Linked DNA regions of Oryctolagus cuniculus. The protein of the gene in region 1 interacts with the protein of each later gene in a pairwise test. Links are inferred from orthologs where the notes say so. Each region holds a gene or a part of one and is shown on either strand. Other genes may lie near its edges. The genes, in order: SGSM1 and CETN3.

What was found.
Region 2: the proteins of SGSM1 (region 1) and CETN3 interact in binary tests that used the Homo sapiens proteins (3 or more experiments, as listed by UniProt). The two-hybrid records come from large-scale screens. The link is inferred for Oryctolagus cuniculus from reciprocal best matches to the Homo sapiens genes SGSM1 and CETN3.

What each region holds. Positions count from the first base shown.
Region 1 is NC_091452.1:19,077,804-19,084,283, reverse strand, and holds part of SGSM1 (small G protein signaling modulator 1), read right to left. Parts: intron 4,048-6,480; coding exon 3,885-4,047; intron 1,064-3,884; coding exon 911-1,063; intron 1-910. UniProt on the Homo sapiens protein: Interacts with numerous Rab family members, functioning as Rab effector for some, and as GTPase activator for others. Promotes GTP hydrolysis by RAB34 and RAB36.
Region 2 is NC_091445.1:13,136,677-13,143,689, forward strand, and holds the start of CETN3 (centrin-3), read right to left. Parts: upstream 3,773-7,013; 5' UTR 3,630-3,772; coding exon 3,613-3,629; intron 1,082-3,612; coding exon 946-1,081; intron 1-945. UniProt on the Homo sapiens protein: Plays a fundamental role in microtubule-organizing center structure and function. As a component of the TREX-2 complex, involved in the export of mRNAs to the cytoplasm through the nuclear pores.

The DNA.
Region 1 (6,480 bases):
TATCCTCAACACCCAGGTGAGGTAGGGAACACAGCAGGTTGTCATGAAGTATTTTTTGGATGGGTGAATGCAGGAACAGATGCTTAGCCGAGAAGATTCAAACTCTTAAACCCTCACATCAGATTAAGCTGAGCAAAAGGAAAAAACTTCTCTGCGCTTTAACTTGCTGCATTCTCACAAAATTCCCTTCTCATTTCTCCTCTGGAATGGCATTGATTCCTGTCTCATTTGCCAAAAGAGATACAGACTTAGTGATTTTCCAAGGACCACAGAATTATTGCGTAGTTTAATCCATGGGGGGGAGGAAGAAATTCAATATATGTATATCCCTTCCTAAGAATGAAGACCTTACACTGCTATGAAACACCTGCATCTGCCCAAACTTCTACAGAAGACTGGCTTGGGGTCAAACATCCAGGAGGCATTTTAAAAATCATGGTCAGGGGCCGGTGTTGTGGCATAGAGGGCTGAGCCTCCACCTGCAGCGCCAGCATCCCATATGGGCGTTGGTTCGAGTCCTGGCTGCTCCACTTCTGATCCAGCTCTCTGCTATGGCCTGGGAAAGCAGTAGAAGATGGTCCAAGTCCTTGGGCCCCCCTTGGGTCCCCCGTGTGGGAGACCTGGAAGAAACTCCAGGCTCCTGGCTTCAGATCGGCATAGCTTCAGCCGTTGCAGCCAACTGGGGAGTGAACCAGCAGATGGAAGACCTCTCTCTCTCTCTGCCTCTCCTTTTCTCTGTGTGTAACTCTGACTTTCAAATAAATAAATATATCTTTTTTTAAAAAATGGTCTAACTTAAGTGTGCGTCAAGGAGAAAAAGAACAGGCAACTTTGTGCAGGAAGGTGCAATTCCCAGGAGGCCAGCAGGTGGCAGCAGAGCACCCCCCCAGGTCTGGCCTGCCCTTCTCACCTGCTGTTTTCCACCAGGTAATGCACAATTTTGTCCAGGACCTTCTCAAACAAGGCCGTGCGGATCCACAGGTGCTTGATGGCCAGCGGGGACAAGTTGGGCAGCTTCGGCAGCTTCCGCACGTTCTCCTGGAGGCCCTGGATCTGGTTTCGTCTTCAAGATCAACAAAGGAGAAGAGACACTCACAAAAACAGCCCACAGGGTCAGCGTGCAGATGGGACACGTCCAGTCTCTCGGGAAGCGAAGGACTGGCAACGTAAACAGGGGCCCACACTGCTGCTAGCAAATGGGTTACGTGGGTGTGAAGACGTGGTTAAACAGACACTCAGATACTGTGGGTGGCCCAGCCAGACTGGCACACTAATATCTCCCCCTCGCCTTCCCCCATAGCTCCATACCCTCCCCAGCTGGAGCTCCTCCAGTGGCTCCATGACCATGCTCCACTCACCTCCCCAGCATTTCCTGACCCCTAGCCCCACGTACCCCATGACCTGCCCAGAGACGTCTGCGGAGCCCTGAGGCTCTCACCTGCAGCCTTCCCACGGCTGGTGTTTCTTCCTCCTTTCCCACCCCATCCCTGGGCTGACCCCTTGCTCAGCGTGGGTGGCCCAGCCCTGTGGACAGCCCTCCCAGGCCAGCCAAAGCTGATTCCTGCTCCCTCCACCTGTGGAGACCAAGTGAAACTCCTGCTGAGTGTCTACCAGGTGGCGAGCATGGACCCTCCTCCTGTCTGCGTCTCCAGGGCCTGCACAGGGCCTGCCGTACGGACAAGGCTCAGTGTGTATGTTCATGAACAAGTGCTGGGGCAAGTGTGTGAGTGGTTCTCCCTCACCACCTGGCACAAGCAGCTCTAATTCCTCCATCAGGAAGACTCTCCCCTGTATTATGGAAGTCCATGCTTTAAGAAGACACCTGCAGGGGCCGGCGCTGTGGCGCAGTGGGTTAATCCTCTGCCTGTGGCACCAGCATCCCATATGGGGCCTGGTTATAGTCCTGGCTGCTCCTCTTCCAATCCAGCTCTCTGCTATGGCCTGGGAAAGCAGTGGAAGACGGCCCAAGTGCTTGGGCCCCTGCACCGCGTGGGAGACCCAGAGGAAGCTCCTGGCTCCTGGCTTCGGATTGGCACAGCTCGAGCCATGGCAGTCATTTGCGGAGTGAACCAGTGGAGAGAAGACCTTTCTCTCTGTCTGTCTCTCCCTCTCACTGTCTGTAACTCTATTTCTCAAATAAATAAATAAAATCTTTTTTTTTAAAAAGACACCTGCAAATCCTTGGGAATTTAGCCAATGCACTGGAAGACATCTGAAGACCAGGCGGCTGAGAGGTTGTTCCCCACGGGAGCTGGCAGAGCCAAATCCCAAGCTCTACAGTTCTGGCCAGCAGCCCTGGGGCAGGCAGGTCCTGCGGGCAGGGAAAGGGCTGTTTCTCACACAGCGAAGTAGGAACATCACCCATTGCAGAGACGGCAAACACAGGGCTCGCCTGTCTCTTTCCTTCCCCTGCCCATGACAGACATGACCAATCAATCCACGAGGTTCCTCAGGATGCACAGGCACAGTCTCTGGGCAGCCTCTCGCACCAGCTGAAGTGGAAAGCAACCTGCCATCCCCACCCTGGCCCCGGGTTGGGGGTTTGGCTGTCCAGTCGGGACCCTGGGGCTGGCTCTGGCTGTAGACGCCTGCTCGTCGACTCAGTCCATGAGCCTCCCCAACCAGCCGCCAAGGCGAGCAAGCGGAATCACCCCTGCCCCTCAGTGGGCGCCCCAGAGTGAGACTGAGCCAGAGGCCCCAGCTTCTGGTCCATGCAGAAGAGACCATCTTGCATTTACCACAGGCCGTGGTCACTACTTCTTGGGCCTCTACCAGGTGCCCAATGCTGTCCAGGTGCTGGGCACCTAATGGGGGAATACCGCAATGTGGCTGCCAGCTCACGTGGAGTTCATGGCCAAGGGGGCAGTGGGGCCTCGGCCAAGTAAACAATGAAGTGAGTGGCTGATTACAGACGGTGACGGTCCCTGGAGGAAAACAAACAGTGTGGCACCCCAGGGGAGATGGGGCAGGTGTGGGGCACAGCTGGTGAAGCTACCATGTGCAACACTGCATCTCACACTTAAGTGCCACTTACAGTCCTGGATGTTCTGCTTCTATTTTAATGATTTATTTATTTGAAAGCGTTAGACAGAGAGGAAGAGAGAGAGAGAGGTCTTCCATCCAATGGTTCACTCCCCAAATAGCTGCGATGGCTGGTGCTGGAGGTGTACCAGGCCAAAGCCAGGAGCCAGGAGTTTCATCTGGGTCTCCCATGTGAGTGCAGGAGCCCAAACACTTGAGCCATCCTCCACTGCTTTCCCAGGTGCATTAGCAGGGAGCTGGATCGGAAGTGGAGCAGCCGAGACACAAACCAGTGCCCATATGGGATGCCAGTGTCACTGGTGGCAGCTTAACCATGATGGTGGTCCCACTATTCCACTTCTGACCCAGCTTTCTGCCAGTGTCCCCAGGGTGCAGCAGGTGATGGCTCAAGCACTTGGGCCACTGCTACCTACATGGGAGACCAGGATGGAGTTCTTGGCTCATGATTTTGACAGGTGGATGTAAGATGTGTGTGTGTGTGTGTGTGTGTGTGTGTTAGAGAGAGAGAGAGAGAGAGTTTGTATGTGTGTATATCTCCTTCTGTCACTCTATTTTAAAAAAAATTAAATCTTTTTTAAAAAGAAGGAGAGAAGTTGGAGTAAGGGTTGGAATTCTCTGGCCATGGGAGGTCTGAATGGTGACGAGGAACCAGGAATCGGTGACCAGGACGGCCTGGAGGTGGCCACAGCATGTGCAAAGGCCCTGAGGCGGGAGAGAGTCTGCTGGGTTTCAGGAGCAGAAAGGAGAGTGCCAGGAGGCTCAAGCTCTTGCCGAGCCCGGAGAGGGAAGTGCACTGTCGCCGGGGGGACCGCCCCAGCCTGCACCCCCCACGCCACACTCACGCATTCTCAATCAGCTGCTCCAGGTCCTGCACCTTGCGGCTCAGCTCCTCGGCCGGCGGGAAGCTCCTGCCCACCTTCATGAACAGCGCCGCGATCTTGTTGCTGCGCAGGAAGCCGGCCGCCCGCCGCCGCAGCCCGTGCAGCACACAGGCCTCCACGGCCGCTGCGGGGATGAGGGACCCGGCGGTCAGGGGCTCCGCCCCACCCCCAGGAGCCCCTGCACCGTGTCAGACAGGAAGCACCCTGGAGAGTGGGGACCCCTAGAGTCACAGGACAGCACGGTAGGGAAAAGCACGGACGGTGGCTGTCATTTCTGTCGGAGAGCGAGGGGAGACAGGGCCGCGTGACGGCTGGGCTTCATCACATCATCACTAAAGCTGCTCCTTATGGGGCGGGCTGACACTTAGGGATCCCACTCACTCTCTGCCCTGGCAGGGAACAAAGGAACGTTATCCCCGTCTATCAGACGTGAAGACTGAGGCTCAGCAAGCAAAACTGCGTTTCCCAGGGCCACCCAACCAATGAGTGATGGAGCCAGGACTCAAACTCAGTTCTGAGCCCACATCGTGCCACAACGTCCGTGCTCCTAAAAAGGACTTTTAAAGGGAACACTTTGTCCTAATTTTCCCATTCCTGGTCTCCCTCTGGAGGTTTTGCCCAGCGCTTTTCAGAGAGAGACGTGGACTCTCTCCCTAAGTCACCAATGAGTTTCCCTCGCTGGGCGCCAGCGCGCTCTCCTGAGATGTCTGGCCCCGAGGGAACCATTTCTTACTTCCGGCACTTTCAACAGCCCTGTCTCTTCTTGGTTGTGGTCGTACGCAGCAGACCCGGAGCTCACATTCATACAGCTGTGCGCAGAATCAATGCTTCAGGAAAAGTGAGCGTTTAACAAGAGCTACTCTGTCTTGGGCACCTGCTGGTGTCACGTAACTGCTACCATCTGCCTGGTCTAATGCCCCCTGACAAAAGCCAGAGAGTGAGAGATCTGGCTCTCAGTCAGTGGCCCTTCACAGAACAGCGAGCTCCTGGGGCCAAGGGCTAGGCCAAGGTCATGCCTCAGGTGGGGAGGAAGACTGAAAAGTCTGGAGTCAACTGCTTGTCTTCTCTGAGTTAGCAACAGTTTGGTTTTGAGCCGATGTCTAGATATTGCCAGATCTGCCCGTGGGTTTACAATATTCTGGGTGGGGCTCTCTTACATTTAATACCCAGTGCTTCTCATTTGTTTATATGGAAATGAGTGACTCTGTTCTTCAGGTTTGTGGACGCCGTTCAATGCTTTTCATCAATGGCTCGCAAGGAGCAACAGATAAGAGAGAGCTGCAGGCAATTCTCCAGGCTTCATTCACTGTGGTCAGATTTCTCCCAGCCCAAAGCCATCACCAGAGTGACACAATTACTATCACCTCTTATCACTGTCTATTCGCCTCAGACTTCAAGGGGCAGGTATGCTAGCAAGTCCTGACATGGACATACGTATTATTTTATTTGCAAATAGAAATGTCTAGAAAAACATTTAAATGTTGGAAACATGTAATTCCACGTACATATGTCATACCTAAACATCCATGTGTGTGTATGCACATACACATTGGTATATGCATATATTATATATAAAACACTTGGAACAACTTCGTGGAAAAATGGAATTAAAAGACAAGTTTATTTTGGATTTAAGAAATGCTGAAATCCATGCAGTTTTTTCACAGGACATACTTTTCATCTACTTTTTGAAGACCCCTCCTTTGCATGGATCTCAGTGTTTCTTGCACCACAAATAACTTATTTTTTAAGTCCATTCCCCAAGAACTTTTTAAAGGTTTAAATAAACACATCTCACTTTTGAAAAATCCCACAAGGATGTGGCAGAGGTGGGATTTGAACCCAGGTCTGCTTGGCAGGTCAGCCTCCCCCACCCCAGGTCACAGAGTGAGCTCAGCACATTGTGGGTCCTGGTGGGGTGGCATCCAGCCATCCGCATGGGAGCCGACAGGGCTGGCCAGATCTCCTGGCTCAGGCCTTTCCTTCAAGGCCAAGATCACGGTGGGGAATTTGGGCCTGCCCCTCCTGTGCACGGACAGTTAGGATACAAGCATGCTGCAGGGAGAATGGAACGAATGGCCCACTTCTGCACACTCATGGGCTCTCGGCTGGGTCCTAACTGCAGGCACACAGCACATGTGTGTATAGCCACTGTCACAGCACAGAAAGGAGCTGGCAGCACGGTTACTGCTGGAACCTTCAGAGCAGAGAGGGGTCAAGAAGAGATGTCTGGGTCCCGGCCCGATGGGACCCCACATCCTGAGCCCCAGGCCTGCTCCTTTGCTGAGCCAGCCACACGTGATCCCACGGAAGGTCAGTGTCTCTTAATTCCCTTTTCTGTTTTTAAAAGTCTCCATCTACATGCTCACTCGCTCTTTACTTAGCAATAGCTGCGGGCAGGGCCAGGAAGGGACACAGATCCCATTCCCAAGAGGTGAGGCTACTCCTGGCTTCGGGTGTAAACAGAGCCCCCGGGGAGGGGACAGCCATCCCCACCGCTGTGATCTCTGCAGCCCCGCTCACCGCTCCTCCCCGCTCCTCCCTGGTTCCAAAGCTC
Region 2 (7,013 bases), on another chromosome or scaffold:
CAAGTACTCGGGCCACCTTCCACTGTTTTCCCAAGTGTCTTAGCAAGGAGCTAAATCAGAAGTAGAGCAGCTAGCTGGGACTCCAACTGGCACACATGTAAGATGCTGGTGTCTCACCACAACTAATTTTAAGCCTTGAATTTGACATCTTTCTCCATTAGCACGTGTTCAACATCAAACAACTTATTATGCATGCACTACAGAAAGTAGGTTGAGATTGTGTTACTAACATGTTTAAATTAAAAGCTTAAAAACCCACTCTCCCAGTATGAAAAAAAAAAGCATGAGTTACCAAAATCTAAATAAAACCAACAGGAAGAATGATAATGATAAGAGCTGCTTAAATTCCATAGCTTCCAATCCATTACTTTTGTGAATGAAAAATAACCATCTTTCATAGGAATGTATTTTTACATTTAAAATATCATTCACTTTACCATGCAAAAACGTTTTCATACAACTGCATTAGGGGTTCTGTTTTACTATAGCACCTAACTACGAATGCTTAAAAAGATTTCATAGTTCCAAAACCAGTTCAGTTACAATAATTATATAGAAATGTATTTTGGCCGGCACCGCGGCTCAATAGGCTAATCCTCCACCTGCGGCGCCGGCACACGGGGTTCTAGTCCTGATCGCTCCTCTTCCGGTCCAGCTCTCTGCTATGGCCCAGGAGGGCAGTGGAGGATGGCCCAAGTCCTTGGACCCTGCACCCCATGGGAGACCAGGATAAGCAAATGGCTCCTGCCATCGGATCAGCGCGGTGCGCCGGCCGCAGCGGCCATTGGGGGGTGAACCAAAGGAAAAGGAAGACCTTTCTCTCTGTCTCTGTCTCTCACTGTCCACTCTGCCTGTCAAAAAAATAAAATAAATAAAATAAATGTATTTTAAAGCTGTCAAAAATGCAAATCACTTTAACAGATAAATATATACTTTATACTTTACCTTTAGTTCATGATAATCTATTGCATCATCTTTGTCTGTATCAAAAAGTTCAAAGGCATCTTTAATTTCTTGTTTCTGTTCCTCAGAGAGCTCTCTTCTTTTTTTTCTCTTTGTTTTGTCTACTACAAGCTCACTTCTATAAAATGGAAACAAAAAAGTCATTAGTCCACTCTAATCGTATTCTCTTATGCAAACTAAACAATCAACAACTTTCTAAATTTCCAAAAAGGAAATATGTTGAAGAAAGATAAAGTATTTTTTCTGTATGAGTTGACATCCTGCTTGTTCCATAGTCCACAGTTCTATGAATGTACACTTCCCAGTATGAAGCCGAAACTCTGACAGAAATGGGGAACAAGGGCCACTGTCACAATGCAATGGATTAAGCCACCACCTGCCACACTGGCATCGCACATGAGTGCCAGTTCAGGTCCCAGCTGCTTCACTTCCAATCAGCTCTCTGCTAATGCACCTGGGAAGGCAGACAACTATGGCATGGCTCAAGTGGTTGGTTCAATCACCCAAATGGGAGACCTGAATGGAGTTCTTGGCTACTAGCTTCAGCCTGGCCCAGCCTCAGCCATAGCGGCCATTCAGAGATGGAAGATTTCTCTGACTTTGTCTCTGTCACTCTTTCATATACGTTTCAAAAAAAGGGGGGGGGGGGGGAACCAAACCTTCCCTCCTCCCAACTCAGAAACAAGAATGGTCAGAGGAGGCTGGCACTATGGCGCAGTAGGTTAATCCTCCACCTGTGGTGCGAACATCCCTTATGGGCACTGGTTCTAGTCCCAGCTGCTCCTCTTCCAATCCAGCTCTCTGCTGTGGCCTGGGAAAGCAGTAAAAGATGGCCCAAGTCCTTGGGCCCCTGTACCCACATGGGAGACCAGGAAGAAGCACCAGACTCCTGGCTTCAGATCAGCACAGCTCCAGCCGTTGCGGCCACTGGGGAGTGAACCAACAGACGGAAGATCTTTGTCTCTCCTTCTCACTGTCTATAATTCTACCTCTCAAATAAATAAATAAAAAACCTTAAAAAAAAAGAATGGTCAGAAATATTACTTTCAGACCAAAAACCTCAATCAAAACCAAATCAACACTTATATCATTCTGCAAAAGTGGAAAAAAATCCAAATCAAAGTAGAATTCATAATTGACAATCAACATAAATATTTATTATACTTCAGTATATTTCTTGTAATTAAGTTTTCAAGATTACTACAAAAAAGTGCCAAATAATTTATCAATTAACCTATATTTTGGCATTGTAAGTTCAAAACTATTTTGGATCACATCTAGGTACTTTGTTTGTAGTTTCTTCCATCAATATTAACATGTCAGCCAACAAAGCAGTGAGTCTAAATATATCATGAATGTTAAAAGATCAAAAAGTGGTATGTAGCATTTGTGCTTACTTCCAAAAAATGTGAAAATTCTTGTCTCATTTAACTTATAAACTATAGGTCAAACTTCTCATAACTCTGGAAAAGAGTAAAGAAAATGAAAAGCAAAATTATTTGGAAGTTAGGAATGTCTTCCATCTGAGACAGATGTAGAAGTGCTTCAGAGTTTCAAATGAGAACACCAATTCTGTAAGAACACGTTTTAAAAATTCTAAATGTAAAACCAGTTGATTGTCTCATAACAGATCATCTTATTTGCATGTGAAAGCCATGGGGGGGGGCGGGCAGCATCGTGGCCCAGCAGGTAGGGCTGCCTCTCAGGTCCAAGGAACACAAACCCTGAGTCCCAGCTGCTCCCCGGGAAGGCAGCGGAAGATGGCCCCAAAGCTTGAGCCCCTGCCACCCAGGAGGGTGGCATGTTCAGGTGAACTGCCATGTTCAGGGCTCCTGGCTCCCCCCTGTGCCAACCCCAACCATGGACGCCCTTTGAGGACTGAACCAGCGGATCCAAGATCTCTTTCCCTGTCTCTTTCTGTCACTCACTCTGCCTTTCAAATAAATAAATCTTTAAAAAAAAAAAAAAAACAAACAAACAAAAAACTTATTTTGGTTTCTGAAATCTTAAGGGGGAAAAAAAGGCAATAGGGATGGCTACCAAATGACAGCAGGTGCAGTACGTCAGAGCTGAGGAAGACCTTCCCCAAGAGACCCGAGTGGACACACACCTGGGCACAGCCGGGGTCAGCCATTCCCCTGCCCGGACTGCCCGCGGGCAAGTCCGGACCCCGCCCACACCTGACCGCAGCCAGGGCCACCCGTGGCGGAACACAGTCTCTGAGCACCTGCCTTCAAGGCTATCTGACACGGGGGGTGGGGTGGGGCACAGACCGAGGGCTAGGGTCGGGACAGAAGACACCGACTCCGGGCGGGTCTCCGATTCGGCGGGGCCGGGGGCACACGGGCGAGCGACTCCGTGGGCAGCGGTGCGGGGGCCAGGTGGGCGGGGTCGCAGCACCGCACGCCCGCGGCCCACCCCCCTAGGCCGAAAGCCCCGTGCGCGGCCACAGGCGACCACCTCGGCAGCGAGCGCCGGGCCGGTCACCTGCAGGGCTCTGCACTCCCGGGGGGCTGGGGGCTGGCAGGCCGGCGAGCCCCCTCCTCACCTCGGCCCCAACGGCCTCCCTTCCACACCCACACACGCACGCGAGCACGCCCGGGGCCCGCTCCGCGGCGTGGGGAGCGCGGCCGCCTCACGACTACCGACCTCAGAGCTAAACTCATTTTCCTCCCCGGACAGACACGTTCCTCTCAGAGACTTTATGCCCTGGCCCGAAGCAGCAGGACTCCCACAAGCCGTTCAACAGACGCGAACGGCCGCTGCCACCACCAGCCCCGCCCAGAAGACAGACACTTCTGAGCGGGATTGGTCGAAACCCGCTAAGGTTGTGCCCCGCTCGGCACTACGCCCTATTTTCATTGGATGGCTTTAGCGTCAGTCAAAGGAGCGTTTGTGCCCGCCTCTCCCGTGCCCTCCGGCCCCTTAGATTGGCCAGCTGCTTTTTCCCCGAATCCTTTGCGGGCCGGCGTGTGGACAGCTCCCAGGTAGGGAATGGCGGGGAGGAGACCGGTGCAGGTGCTCTCAGAGACGTGAGCTTAATTTTTGCGGCCAACCCAACCCTCAGCATCCTACGCAGGCTCACTTGCGACCGAGTTTATGCACGTCATTCATTGTGTCCCCAGTGGCTGGCTGCAGTTGATGTTCCTTTGGGTCCTAGATGTTAGCAAAACGTTTGGTGTCCTCTTAACGACACAGTTCGCTATCATTAAATAGAGTGTGTTTATGAAGAATTCAACATATAAATCTATTAAATAATCATAATGCTAGATAACCGAGATGATCTCAAGGACAAAATATCCCTTACTCATTCTAAGATACATATTAATAAAGCAGGTATGGACAGTGCTTTTTTTTTTTTTTTTTTTTTTTTTTTTACCATGCTGAATAACACACTTAGAATGGAACATTAGGGTTTCTCAACCTTGATCCCCGGAACACTAGAGTTTTGTGAGATGCTTATGGTCATTTCATAGAGAATGACACTGTGGACAAGTAATTTGGGAAAATGTGTTTTTACTTGTTAAGGTCAAATGTCGTCAGTGCCATACCCTGTTAAGGGAATGATAGGGAAGTCACACGCATCACTTCTCTTCACATTTAAGCCGTGGAAACTAGTGACATGGCCACTACTTGCTTGCTGTAAGGGAGGCTGAGAAGAGCTCTCTAGTTTGGATGCCATGTTCCCTGATAAAACATGAGGTCATACCATCTGTTACTAAACATAAAATGGGATTAGCAAGTCTGCCACAGAAACCATTAAAATGGTTATCAATATTATCCTTGAAATTCTCATGAATGATGCAATAAAACAAGGGGAAGAAGTGCCACATGAAATTAACATTGTGTATGAATTATATAACACCTGGAAAATCCAAGAATACCAAAGAAGCTATTGGAATTGATAAAAAGAATTCAGTAAGTAGCTGATCATCACATTTGAGAGAACAATGATTATAAGATATAATAATAGCAAAATGGATTTCACAGAAATAATTTGCACAGGAAATCTATAGAATCAGATATGGACTGCTTCTAAAAGTTGAGATGACCTCTGGCCAACAGCTAGAAAGGAAATGGGGCGGGGGGGCAGCACTGTGGTGAAGTGGGTTAAAGCCTTGGCCTGAAGCGCCGACATCCCATATGGGCACCGGTTGAAGTCCCGGCTGCCCCTCTCCCAGTCCAGCTCTCTGCTACGGCCTGGGAAAGCAGTAGAAGATGGCCCAAATCCTTGGGCCCCTGCACCCACATGGGAGACCGGAAGAAGATCCTGGCTCCTGGCTTCGGATCAGCACAGCTTCGGCTGTTGAGGTCATCTGGGGAATGAACCATCGGATGGAAGACCCTTCTTTCTGTCTCTACCTCTCTCTGTAACTCTGTCTTCAAATAAATAAAAGAAATCTTAAAAAAAAAAAAAAAAAAAAAAACATAGTATGCAAGTGTTGTTTTAAGGCACTAAAATTATAGTAATTAGTTATAGCAATGATAGAAAATTAATACACCTCCTAAATCAATGAAAAAAGAAAAATGAGAGATTTAAAATAAATTGATGGAGTAGGCCTAGAGGGAAGAAAAGCTGAATGGATTCCAACCAATAGACAGAAATGGATAAAGAGAACTTAAATATGTTCAGTGAGTTGATAAAGAAATATTTCTTCACTGTAAAAGAAAAACTAATGTAACTAGAAATTCTTTTTAAAAATAAAGGTTAGTAAGAATACCATGGCTTTAAAATGACATAAACTAAAATAATGCATTATCAGGCTGTAGTCAGTGCTATAGCCCACCCGCCTTCCTGTCTTCAGAACCAAAGAACCTATTCCCCCAGCTTCCAGAAATTTGGGCAGCTGAAAACACCCAGCTCAGTTCCTCCTGGTAAATTGCCCTTTCCCAAAAGTAGGTGCCTTCAGCCAGATTACAAAGTCTCCCTGGAGGCAGAATTTATCCAAAGACAGGCCAATATGAAAGGGAAGAGCCTGGCTTCCTGGCCTCAATCCAGGTGAACTCTGAGGGGAAGGGCTTCTCCAACATCATGGCGCCCTGTAGAGCTGGCTGAGGCCTCTGCTTTGACTGCATCACAGCGCCCCTGTTCCCTCTGCCCAGTTCTGCCTCTGTCAGTCCCCACAGGTCTTGTTTCTGAGACGCTGCCCCAGTAAACCCCAGTTATGCAGATCTCACAGTCACTTCCTTAAAGAACTCAACCTAAGACATAGTTAATACAATATATTTTTTAAAAACAGGAAACAAAAAAAAAAAGCAAGACAAATGTATTGTCTCAGCACAGTTATACAGCCCAATGTTTTTAAAAGTAAAATAGAAAATTTATTTTTAAAGAACATGAGTGGAGGCAGGTGCTGTGGCGTAACGGGTAAAGGAAGAGGAGCAGCTGGGACTAGAACTGGCACTGACCCCAACCACCACCATTTCTCATACTACCTATCTTTCAGCACTCTTCCTTTGCTATAGTATATCTTTAGCAAATTCAGAAATGGTATAGGAAAGGTGAACTGACTGCGGTCCCTGTGTTTTCACAGTCGAAATGAAAAGAGGAGAAGGTGGCTACTGTCCTTCTGTACTAAATTTAGTATACCTTGTTCACGAATTCTGTTAATGCAAAATTAAAGAAATTCTATTGGACAACACTCAGTCCACTTGGAAATTAAAGTGAGACTTTCATATTTTGAATCAAAATATATTTAACTTAAAGGTTCACTATATGGCTGGCGCCGCAGCTCACTAGGCTAATCCTCCACCTACAGCACCAGTACCCCGGGGTTCTAGTCCCGGTTGGGGCACCGAATTCTGTCCCGGTTGCTCTCTGCTGTGGCCCAGGAAGGCAGTGGAGGATGGCCCAAGTCCTTGGGCCCTGCACCCCAATGGGAGACCAGGAAGAAGCACCTGGCTCCTGGCTTCAGATCAGCGCAGTACACTGGCCATAGCGGCTATATGGGGGGTGAACCAATGGAAAGGAAGACCTTTCTCTGTGTCTCTCTCTCACTGTCTAACTCTGCCTATCAAAAAAAAAAAAAAAAAAAGATACCTGTAAGCTA